Linked DNA regions of Arabidopsis thaliana. The protein of the gene in region 2 interacts with the protein of the main gene of each other region in a pairwise test. Each region holds a gene or a part of one and is shown on either strand. Other genes may lie near its edges.

Region 1 (3,755 bases), on a different chromosome or scaffold from region 2:
AAGGTTTTACTTCTGCTTGTACTATTGGGTCCGCGGTTGATAAATACTATCAGATATGATTGCATACTTGCATGTAACTGATAAAAATAATATTTGTTACTTTACGTATTTTGAATTACCAATTAGCCTGTATTTCAAGTAACCAGAACTACTAGTTACTAAGCAAGCAGTTGTGCACTTATTAGATCATAATAATAATAAGTACTCAATAACTAAAATCACCTTAAAACGGAAATTAAAAAAATGATCGACTTTGATGTTATCATATCCGCCACTTTTGTTTCGTTCTCTCGGGCTGAATCGTTTGTTTCGTTCTCTCTATCGTTACTAGCTCTCTGTTTCTTGTTTTGTCTCTATTCATTAACTTTGCTTCCCTTATTAGTAATTATAATTTATAAATTCTAAATGATGTCTCTGTAAAAGAGAAACAAAGTAGATAAATATTAAGGGAGAAATGTAAATGTAACTGCATAATCGGTTTGCTACAAACTTATTTTTCCCTCCTAAAATGTTTCTTTTCTTTCTTTGCAAAAGATTCATTCGCTATATGCCTGTATTGGTTAAACATTAGTAGAAGTATTTTTGCAATTGGCGTGCAGAACATGGGAAGTTAGTAGCTACTTTATATATGGCCACATGACTTCCTCGCACGTCACGTAATCGGTGAAATGCTGTCCATGTGACAGTCAGACTCTTCGTAAAACAAATGTTCCGAAAGTAGTAACTACGGATAATTTATTTATTTTTGCAAACGTTACTGTAGTTACAAAATAAATAATGTTCCTTTGTAACTTTGGCGTGGGATTTCCAAAAAGTCTCTTGTCACATGAAACGGTTTTGAAAAATTTATAATCTCACTTTGAATTTGGTATATGTATTCAGACGAATGATAAGATACCAAATTATTTTAGTCGTTTTAATTTATAGATTTATTACTAACTTTTTTTTTTGTAAATTTAAACTTTCAGATTAGGCAACACCAAATAAATGATATATTTAATAGAAAATGTATGGTCGAAAAAAAATATTGTAATGTCTCTACACCAGAAGCTTTTGTTTTGACTTTTGAGTGTTTGAATCATTTGAAGTTTTGAACAGAATAATTCCACAATCAAAACCAAATAATATTTTATCAGGCGAGCGAAAGACAAGATTTTGACAGGTATTTGTACAAGTACTGAGTCGGTCAACAAACCCCGTCTGGACTCTGGACCCGAAGTAACCCAACAAACGTTGCGACAACTACATTAGCACCACCACCAAGGCACCAATAATGCAACGTAAGAGGGACGCAGCAAAACTGTCGCGATGTGAGATTCACGCGCTCTAATTTAAACGTTGACTCTTTGTTTCATCGTTACTCTCTCCCATTTATTTACTTCGCATACTCTCTTCGTTACAAGTTTCCATTTAATTACTCTTAAGTCTCTAACTAATAGCTTTAGGGATTCGTCATTAATTTAAGGCAACGTAAACTTAAAGAGTTTCGACTAAAAGCCGTTTCAGGAAACATACATCATCACATACTTTATCTAAATAACTGGCTTATTAATTTTATAACAAAAATGACGTTATTTAGTGTTAAGATATACAAATATTTAATTTTTACTAAATTAGTTAAGGTAAAATTGTGTTCCTTTCTGTGAGTTTTCCGCAATATTAAAAAACCCTAGAGAAATTAACAAAACGTAATTGACTAAAAAAAGAGTTCAAAACAAAACATTTGTTACATTTATTTCATAATTTAAAGACTAAGTATAAATCCACTAGAAAACAGATGATTAAAAATGCGGGTCCCACAATACGCCAATCGTCAAATAATCGCGCACCTTTTCGCCACGTAGCATAACAAAGTCACGTAAGCCCTTCCTCTACATTACAAGACCAAACTCAAAGTCTCTTTCTCCCCCAAACCCAAAAACATTGACCCAAAGAGAGAGAGACTTCTATCGTGCGCACCTCTCTCTCTTAATCCTTTATCCTGCGCACCACCACCACCATCTTCTTCTCCGGCGAAAACAAACCCACCGCCATGGGGAAAGGTCGTGCACTTTCCGACGGAGTGATCAAAAAGATCATCCTTTCATACACCTATGTCGCAATCTGGATCTTCCTCAGCTTCACAGTCATCGTCTACAACAAATACATCCTCGACAAGAAGATGTATAATTGGCCATTCCCAATAACTCTCACCATGATCCACATGGGTTTTTGCTCTTCCTTAGCTGTGATTCTCATCAAAGTCTTCAAAGTCGTCGAGCCTGTTTCAATGTCACGCGAGACTTATCTCAGATCCGTCGTACCAATCGGCGCGTTGTACTCACTTTCTCTCTGGTTATCAAACTCTGCTTACATCTACCTCTCTGTTTCCTTCATTCAAATGCTCAAAGCCCTAATGCCTGTAGCAGTTTACTCAATCGGGGTTTTGTTGAAGAAAGAGACTTTCAAATCTCAGACTATGACTAACATGCTTTCGATCTCGTTTGGTGTTGCTATTGCTGCTTATGGTGAAGCTAAGTTTGATGGTTGGGGTGTTTTTCTTCAGCTTGGTGCTGTTGCTTTTGAAGCCACTAGGTTGGTTTTGATTCAGATCTTGCTTACTTCTAAAGGAATCAATCTAAATCCAATCACTTCTCTCTATTACGTTGCTCCTTGTTGTTTGGTTTTCCTCTCTGTTCCTTGGATCTTTGTGGAGTTTCCAGTTCTTAGAGATACTTCGAGTTTCCATTTCGATTTCGTGATCTTTGGAACCAATTCTGTTTGTGCGTTTGCTTTGAATCTTGCTGTGTTCTTGCTCGTTGGGAAAACCTCTGCTTTGACTATGAATGTGGCTGGTGTGGTTAAGGATTGGCTCTTGATTGCATTCTCGTGGTCGGTGATTAAGGACACGGTCACACCTATCAATCTGTTTGGTTATGGACTTGCCTTTTTGGGTGTTGGATATTACAATCACTGCAAGTTACAGGCGTTGAAGGCTAAAGATGCACAGAAGAAGGTTCAGGCAAGTGATGACGAAGCTGGGAAGCTTTTGGAAGAGAGGGAAAGTGAAGCTAAACGCAACGAAACCCAAGATTGATCTGTTCTGATTCAAGAATGCAATTTCAGGAAATAAGAGCTTCAAGGTTAGAATGATTTGGGAAGATGGATTTTGCATTTTCATAGGTATGATTATCATTGTCGGTGTTCGTTCGTCTACGTTTTAGTTTTGCGATTATATTTTTAAGTTATGGCTGATTATATTACATAGTGATGGATGGGTGTTTAATTAGAGGTTCATGAATCTTTTGAACTCCATTGTATCTTCTTCTTTTGAGTTGTATTTTGTTTCTTACTTCCTCATGAATCTATCTTTGTGGGTAACAATTGTTTTAGTAGTACTTCTTTATATTTTTTCCCTCCATTGAGATTGTTAAATGTCAAATTGAAAGTCCCTTTTACGTCTCTCTTTATCCAATGAAACCGTTGTATGTTGGAAGGCACAAGAAGATGGTCAACACCAAAAACTTTTTGATATTTTATGGGTTATGTAGGATCATTTAGTAGCAAGATCCACAATTTAAGGAAATAAACAAAATACCCATACCGACGTTCCCTTGCAATAATATGACACATGACACCATCATATGAATACAATGGTCTCATTTAACCTCTACAAATATCCTTCCTTTAGTCTCAACAAGTTTCTGTCCTGAGTAAAGGGACAGGCCAAATAGGTGTTAGATACCAAACTAAAAACATTCAAACAGGCTCACGGG
Region 2 (3,755 bases):
GGTTACAAAGTGTTGGTGATTGAGTCAGGGAATTACTATGCAAGAAGCAAACTTTCTTTACTTGAAGGGCAAGCTATGGATGACATGTATTTATCCGGTGGGTTATTAGCGACGTCCGATACGAACGTAGTGATTCTTGCGGGATCCACAGTCGGAGGTGGTTCTACAATCAATTGGTCCGCCTCGATCAAGACACCAGAACATGTGATGAAGGAATGGGCAGAAAAGTCAAAACTCGAAATGTTCGGAAGTGATTTGTATCGAGAGGCAATGGATGTTGTCTGTAAGAGGATGGGTGTTCAATGCGGATTTGTAGAAGAAGGGTTTAATAATGAGGTATTGAGAAAAGGTTGTGAAAAGTTAGGGTTACCAGTGAAGAATATTCCGAGGAATGCTCCATCCGATCATTACTGTGGGTTTTGTTGCTTGGGTTGCAAGAAAGGTCAAAAGCAGGGGACTTCAGAGACTTGGCTTGTAGATTTGGTGGAATCTGATAATGGTTTAATCCTTCCAGGTTGTCAAGCGACGGAAGTCATGTACGACTGTGAACAGGGGAAGAAGAAGAAGGCAACTGGAGTTGCGTTTGCGTTTGGGGAAGAGATTTATGTGGTGGAGTCTAGAGTGACAATAGTGGCTTGCGGTGCGCTTAGAACGCCGCATCTGTTGAAACGTAGCGGTTTGAAGAATAGTAACATTGGGAGAAACCTTTGTCTACATCCGGTTGTTATGGCTTGGGGATGGTTTCCAGAGGAAGATAAGTGGCCGGAAAAGAAGAAAAAGAGCTACGAGGGGGGAATAATGACTGCGATGTCTAGCGTTGTAATTGAAGAAACGCATAGTTCTTATGGTGAAATGGTTATCCAGACACCTGCTCTACATCCAGGAATGTTCTCAGGGATCATTCCCTGGACATCAAGCAAGGATTTCAAAACCCGAATGCTCAAATTTTCAAGAACCGCACACATTTTTGCGCTTCTGAGAGATAAAGGAACCGGAACAATAGATTCCAAGACCTACATTGACTACAACTTAAACGATGAAGACGAAGAGAGTCTAAAGAACGGTCTTGAAAGAGTCTTGAAGATTCTGGCCGCAGCCGGAGCCGAGGAGATTGGGACGCATCATTCAGAAGGTAGGAGTCTGAATGTTAGAACAGCGAGTTCGTTAGAGATTGAGCGGTTTGTGAGAGAAGAGAGTTCAAAGCCGTTGAAGGATTTGTCAGGTCAGATATGTTCAGCTCACCAAATGGGAAGTTGTAGGATGGGAATTAGGCCGGAGGAATCCGCGGTGAGGCCAACAGGAGAGACTTGGGAGGTCGAAAGGTTATTTGTGGCGGACACAAGTGTTTTTCCGACCGCTTTAGGGGTTAATCCGATGGTCACCGTTCAGTCTATTGCTTATTGTATTGGACTTAATGTTGTTGATGTTCTTAAGAAGAAGAAGTGAGGGTTCATCAGTTTGAAATAGATTTTAGTTTTCCACATATTTTTTAAAATGAAATGTTTTTTTTATACAATTGATAAAACTAATATTAAGAAGTTCTTTGTCAAAGTATCAGTTAGCAATAAATTTCCTTTTCTTTTAATTATTCGTAAACTATAACTAGTAAACACTGGTAGGCAGTAGCAGCTTGATAAATAAGAAATAAAGATGAGCAAAATGGATAATATTTCTTAAGCTAGTAGGCAATATATGATATGAAATAAAAAATCATATTAAAATTTCAGATTTTAATTCTAAAACAAAACAAACAAAAAATTATGTATACAAAAAGTTTCAAGCCTTTAACTTGGGAAGGCTTAATCTATACTCAACTTCTATAGTCCATGCCATTATCATGCTTTTGTTCTTTTTATTAAGGCCACTTTGTATGTAAGTCAAACAATCTACGTTTGACCTCGTCTTTAGTAAACACAAATCATCTATTTCCTTTTAATCGTTTTGGAAAAAAATTTTATTTTAATGTATGATAATATTCTCCTCTCTTTTATTTCCATATTATTTAGTTGACAAAGAAGATTTCTATGAGAAGTTACCTCACATAGTCACATATCCAAAATTTTAAGTTTGTGTTGTGTACTTGTATCAAAAGTATACGCCATCATCTATTTTCTTTAAAATGGTTTTGGAAATTTTATCATTTGATATAATTAAGAATTTTATTCTCTCTCTTTATTTTCCATCCTTATGTAGATTAAAGAACTTTCCTCAAGCCTATTAAAAGATAATTAAATAAATCCCCCTGAGAATTTGACTCAAATAATCTAAGGTGTAGCATTTATGTTGCAGAATTACATATATGTAAGTGCGTCTGATTGATTTTGTCCACTAAAAACTATGCACAACCTTTTTCTCTACTCAGTCGTGTTCTCTCTTGGTCTCGTTTCCTTCATCACATGTTTCGCAGCCGAGTTCAAGAGAACACAGGTACGACGTCGAGTTCCTTCAATTTGTTTTTTTATATTGACAAATCGAACCAAAGTTTACTTGTGTAGAAAGAAGATATTCGATGGGACACAGAGAGGAACTGCTATGTACCCGGAAGCCATGCGTTCGGGCTTGGATCAGCCGCTGTTCTTTGCTTCTGCCTTGCTCAGATCGTTGGGAACATAGTTGTGTTCCGAAATCACCGGACAAGAACTAAAAGAGAAGATGGTTACAAGATTACTGATCTTACTTTACCTACGGTTCTATTGCTCCTGTCCTGGTAAAATATTTTTCCTCTTCTCTTTTTTTTTTTTAATCTCATCTAACTGTAACCAAGAATCCCCTTAACCACCTACCGATATATCTTACTGAATTTTGTATTGGGTAATTTTGAATCAGTGAGTAATTCGGTTTACGGTTTAGTTTTCCGGTTTTACTAAAACTTAAACCTATAAAACCATTTGTATTTTGGTTTGGCTGTTTAGTTTTTGTTTTGTACTAGGTTCGGCTGTAGTTGAAAAAATAAAACCGAAATATAAATATATAAGAAGTTCACCAATATTATGTTTATGCAATAAAAAAATATAACATCTAAAGAAAATATGGACTGGTTTGTTAGGTGACACTAATGCAAAGTTCGGTATCGTTTCGGTTAATCAATTTGTTTTGGTTTGATTCGATTTTAAGGTTGAGAGTTATATTTCCCATCCCTAAGATTCTAAACATATCAGGCGATGTATCATCTAAAGTATAAGAAAGAAAATATCTCTTGAGATTAGTTTCCTATATTGATAATTCTCTGTTCTTGTTTTTCCTTACCTATGTGATCAGGTCCAATTTTGTGGTAGTGGTATTGATTTTGAGTACCGCAATAAGCATGAGTCGAGCTCAAGCGTATGGAGAAGGATGGCTTGATGAAGATTGTTACTTGGTCAAAGACGGTGTCTTTGCAGCTTCAGGCTGCTTAGCCATCCTTGGACTTGGAGCTTTGACCATTTCAGCCACCAGGATCAAAGTAAAGAAACAACAACAACTTGTGCAAGTCGTAATCAAAGACCAAAACCAAGACCAAAGGAGATCAATGGAAGAAGAACAAAAGCATGATGAGCACCAAACGAACAAGTCAGAAAGTGTCATTCACTTGGTGGAAGAAGTGTCTTCCACTAATATAAGCAGAATATAAAAATAAATATAAAACGAAAAGTAAAAGGGGAAATATCGGATATGCTATTATTTACAAAGATGTATATAATTGGTTAATGCACTTATTTAATTCATCCATCAACCACTTAAGGTCACCTAGGATACCAATTAAAAGAATGTCGCGA
Region 3 (3,755 bases), 3.7 Mb from region 2:
AGATCTACTCAATAACATTATTAAGCAACAGGAACAAGCTGTGAGTATAACAAGCTTAAAAACCTTGTTGATGAGTAACAGAATCTCAACTAAACTTTTTTGGAGTTATGTTATATTCTCAGGAATGCATCTCAGGTAGTTGTAGTAACAGCAACATCTCGTCGGATCACAGTTTCAGTTGCTTAAACTCAGAAGCTGCGAGTCGGATTCCGCAAACTCAACGGAAGACGCTGAATACCAAGAATGCTTACTTTTACTGGGTAACACGAGAACAAGGCTCGTTCGATTGGTTCAAAGAAATCATGAACGAGATTGCTGATTCAGATAGAAAGGTAAAAACAATACACTTATTCATTTTAAATTCAAAAGATTGTATGATTTCAAGTTACTCACTGACGTATTTGTCTTGTGAACAACTACAAGGGTGTTATTGAGATGCACAACTACTTGACTAGCGTCTACGAAGAAGGAGATACTCGATCCAATCTTCTCACTATGATCCAAACGTTAAACCATGCCAAAAATGGCGTCGACATTTTTTCAGGAACCAAGGTAATGATCTTTAATGATTAGTTGATTACTTTATCACAAACAACACTCTTTTCTGATCTTGTATAACAACTTTTGGTTATTTTAGGTAAGGACACATTTTGGGAGGCCAAAATGGAAGAAAGTTTTATCAAAGATTAGCACCAAACATAGGAACGCAAGAATTGGTAACACACAGAAACATCAGTTCACTGAAATGATATTCGATATCGCGGTGTATATTTGCCTTGTCTGAAGAATGTTTTTTTGTTTGTTACAGGAGTGTTCTATTGTGGAGTTCCAAGTTTGGGGAAGGAACTTTCAACACTCTGCCATGAATTTAACCAGACGGGAATTACCAGGTTCGATTTCCACAAAGAACAGTTCTAACTGGTAAAAGGATTAATCCCCCACGATTATGGTTTTTTGAATGAATGAATCAATGTTCATGTTCGTTCTCGTATCCTACTTGTTGTGTTTTCTTTTCGTTTTGTGTATCACAAATACCAACTTTTAACCATTTCATCTAGAGTAGGACTGTTAAAAAATGTAAAAAGTCACAGTTAAAGCTTGTGAAGAAAAAAAGAGTGTAAAGGAGTAAAAATGAGAAATTCAAACAAAGGGGGATGATGGGATCATTGGGATGATTGGTTCTGTCTGTTCAATTGTTTTCAAATTTGAGCACTTATTATTGGGCCTGTCTTTGAGCTCTCTTATTATTATGGGCCGATAACTAGTTTGGCCCATTTGGTTATCAACTTGAAAATGAATGAAGAAAGCTGGGGAAAAGGGTCTTTTTAAACCCGAACTGACTCAAAAGCCTCAAAAATTTCACTGTTCCTTGGTTCTTGACCGGTTTAGAATCATGGTTTCGGTTTTGAATCATATTTGCTTTCTTGGACATGAGAAAGTAACTGGGCTTCATCATTGTTTTAGCTCATTGGGCCCATATTACGACTCGAGCTAACGCTGTCAAGTTAAATGCTTTTTCACTTTCTAGAGCATTCTTTTTTAAACACTTCTTTTAACCAAGAGACGGTTCCTACTTCTCTAATATTTTTATTTTCTAGTTTTTTGGCCAGCAGCAAAATATTATTTTAATTTAGTGTCAAGATAATTAAATTATCATTGTCTTTTGAATGCAGACCGAAAGTACATGAGTCACATAAGCAAGCGGCTACGATTCAACCACGTGTCACATGACCACCGGTTCGACCGTTTCTTTGTCCAGCCGCGTGACACCTGAACCAGAAAAGTTTAATAGCCATTTTAATAACAGAGCCGTTAATTACACGTGACTTAAAAAGCCGTTATCCTTAACAGCGTTAACATCTCGGTCCTGTGAAAACACTTTTTATATGTCCCCACGACATTTATCTTTTCCTAAGCATCGCTCTAGTTAAGGAAGCAGCAGGTTTGGATCCGAACCAACCAACGGATCAGATCAGAAACAAAATATTCAACGGCTCAGATTTATTCTAATTTTCCTCCTTTTATTGTTGGTTTTTTCATTCGACTTCGAGATCTTTCTTCTCAGAGGTGTAACGAAAACGCTAGAACAATAACTTTGATCGTTCTTCTTCTTCTCTTGAATCGGAAACAATGGCGGATGAACATAAGCATGAAGAATCTTCACCTAATTTGGATCCAGCAGTGGAGGTTGTAGAGAGGGAATCGTTGATGGAGAAGTTATCGGAGAAGATCCATCACAAAGGTGATTCGTCGTCTTCATCATCATCAGATGACGAAAACGAGAAGAAGTCTTCGTCATCGTCTCCAAAGTCTTTGAAATCGAAGGTTTATCGTTTGTTCGGAAGAGAGAGACCTGTTCATAAGGTTCTCGGCGGCGGAAAACGTATGTTTACTCTGATCCCGTTTCGATATTTGTTCTCAGTTTTTTAAAACGAATTCGTTTGCGTTGGCTTGATCTGTTTGATTTTCTCACTAGTTTAAGGGATCCGTGAAGAAGATCGTTTGAATCTACATAGAGGTTTACATTGATTTGAATTCGATTTCGATTTTGATTTCTGACTAGTTTGAGAGAATTTGTGATGGAATTGATTTTTTTTTTTTTGGAAATGTGTATAATGATCTTGTGAGATTCTTGTAGTTATTGATGATATGGTTCTTATTTCGTGATTGATAAACCCTAATTTGGTGATCTTTTTAATTGCAGCGGCAGATATATTTATGTGGAAGGACAAGAAAATGTCAGGAGGTGTATTTGGCGGTGCTACAGTGGCATGGGTGCTATTTGAATTGATGGAGTATCATCTTCTTACTCTGTTATGTCACGTTATGATCGTTGCTCTTGCTGTGTTGTTTCTATGGTCTAATGCCACTATGTTCATTCACAAGTAAGTTTTGTGGTCAATCATATGAAACAGGTCAAGGTTGTCAAGCTTATTTGACTCATCTTCGTTACCAAATTTTCATTCTCTTTCAGGTCTCCACCAAAGATTCCTGAAGTTCATATCCCTGAAGAACCTCTTCTTCAGCTTGCTTCGGGTCTTAGAATCGAAATCAACCGTGGGATCTCTTCTCTTCGTGAGATTGCGTCGGGGAGGGATATCAAGAAGTTCCTCTCTGTATGTTTAAACTGTCCTGGACTTACTCGTTACTCCTCTCTCGATGTCTCACTTAAGTTTGACACTTATTGTACTGTTTGATTGAATTAGGCTATTGCCGGATTGTGGGTTCTATCGATCTTGGGCGGCTGCTATAGTTTCTTGACATTGGCATACATAGGTAACACTTACTGTTGCTAAAAGTATTTTGCTTCTGCCTTCTCTCTTATTCTGACATTGCTGATGAACGGTTATTGATTTGGTCCAGCTCTGGTTCTGCTCTTCACTGTTCCTCTTTTCTACGACAAGTACGAAGACAAAGTAGACTCATACGGTGAGAAAGCAATGGCTGAGTTGAAGAAGCAATACGCTGTGTTGGACGCAAAGGTATTCAGCAAAATCCCAAGAGGACCGTTGAAAGACAAGAAGAAGGATTAGTTTTTTTTGGGGTTTTTGTTTTGTGTGGGTTTTCTTTGGAGTGCAATGTGCACAATGCTCTGGTTTTTATACACGTGGGTTGTGTTGTGTTGTGAATTGGTAATCTAAAAGGTTATGTGTTAGATCTCAACCCAAATTTTACTTGACAACTTTGCTTTGTTTTTGGAGTGGTTTGTGGCATTAGCACAATGATTGTAGTCGTTCTCTTGATCTATATTTTTA

Evidence for each region.
Region 1: the proteins of AT4G19370 (region 2) and AT2G25520 interact in a two-hybrid assay, tested with the Arabidopsis thaliana proteins (one large-scale study listed by BioGRID).
Region 3: the proteins of AT4G19370 (region 2) and BTI2 interact in a two-hybrid assay, tested with the Arabidopsis thaliana proteins (one large-scale study listed by BioGRID).

What each region holds. Positions count from the first base shown.
Region 1 is NC_003071.7:10,858,918-10,862,672, forward strand, and holds AT2G25520 (Drug/metabolite transporter superfamily protein), read left to right. Parts: upstream 1-1,750; 5' UTR 1,751-2,032; coding exon 2,033-3,076; 3' UTR 3,077-3,493; downstream 3,494-3,755.
Region 2 is NC_003075.7:10,566,118-10,569,872, reverse strand, and holds the start of AT4G19370 (chitin synthase, putative (DUF1218)), read left to right. Parts: upstream 1-2,034; 5' UTR 2,035-2,337; coding exon 2,338-2,427; intron 2,428-2,495; coding exon 2,496-2,707; intron 2,708-3,258; coding exon 3,259-3,610; 3' UTR 3,611-3,755. Other genes in the region: AT4G19380 (Long-chain fatty alcohol dehydrogenase family protein), read left to right, coding at 1-1,446. UniProt on the Arabidopsis thaliana protein: Together with MWL1, contributes to secondary cell wall biology, specifically lignin biosynthesis.
Region 3 is NC_003075.7:6,837,954-6,841,708, reverse strand, and holds the start of BTI2 (VIRB2-interacting protein 2), read left to right. Parts: upstream 1-1,672; 5' UTR 1,673-2,130; coding exon 2,131-2,383; intron 2,384-2,704; coding exon 2,705-2,885; intron 2,886-2,974; coding exon 2,975-3,116; intron 3,117-3,206; coding exon 3,207-3,276; intron 3,277-3,363; coding exon 3,364-3,533; 3' UTR 3,534-3,755. Other genes in the region: AT4G11230 (Riboflavin synthase-like superfamily protein), read left to right, coding at 1-40, 123-332, 424-552, 638-716, 809-918.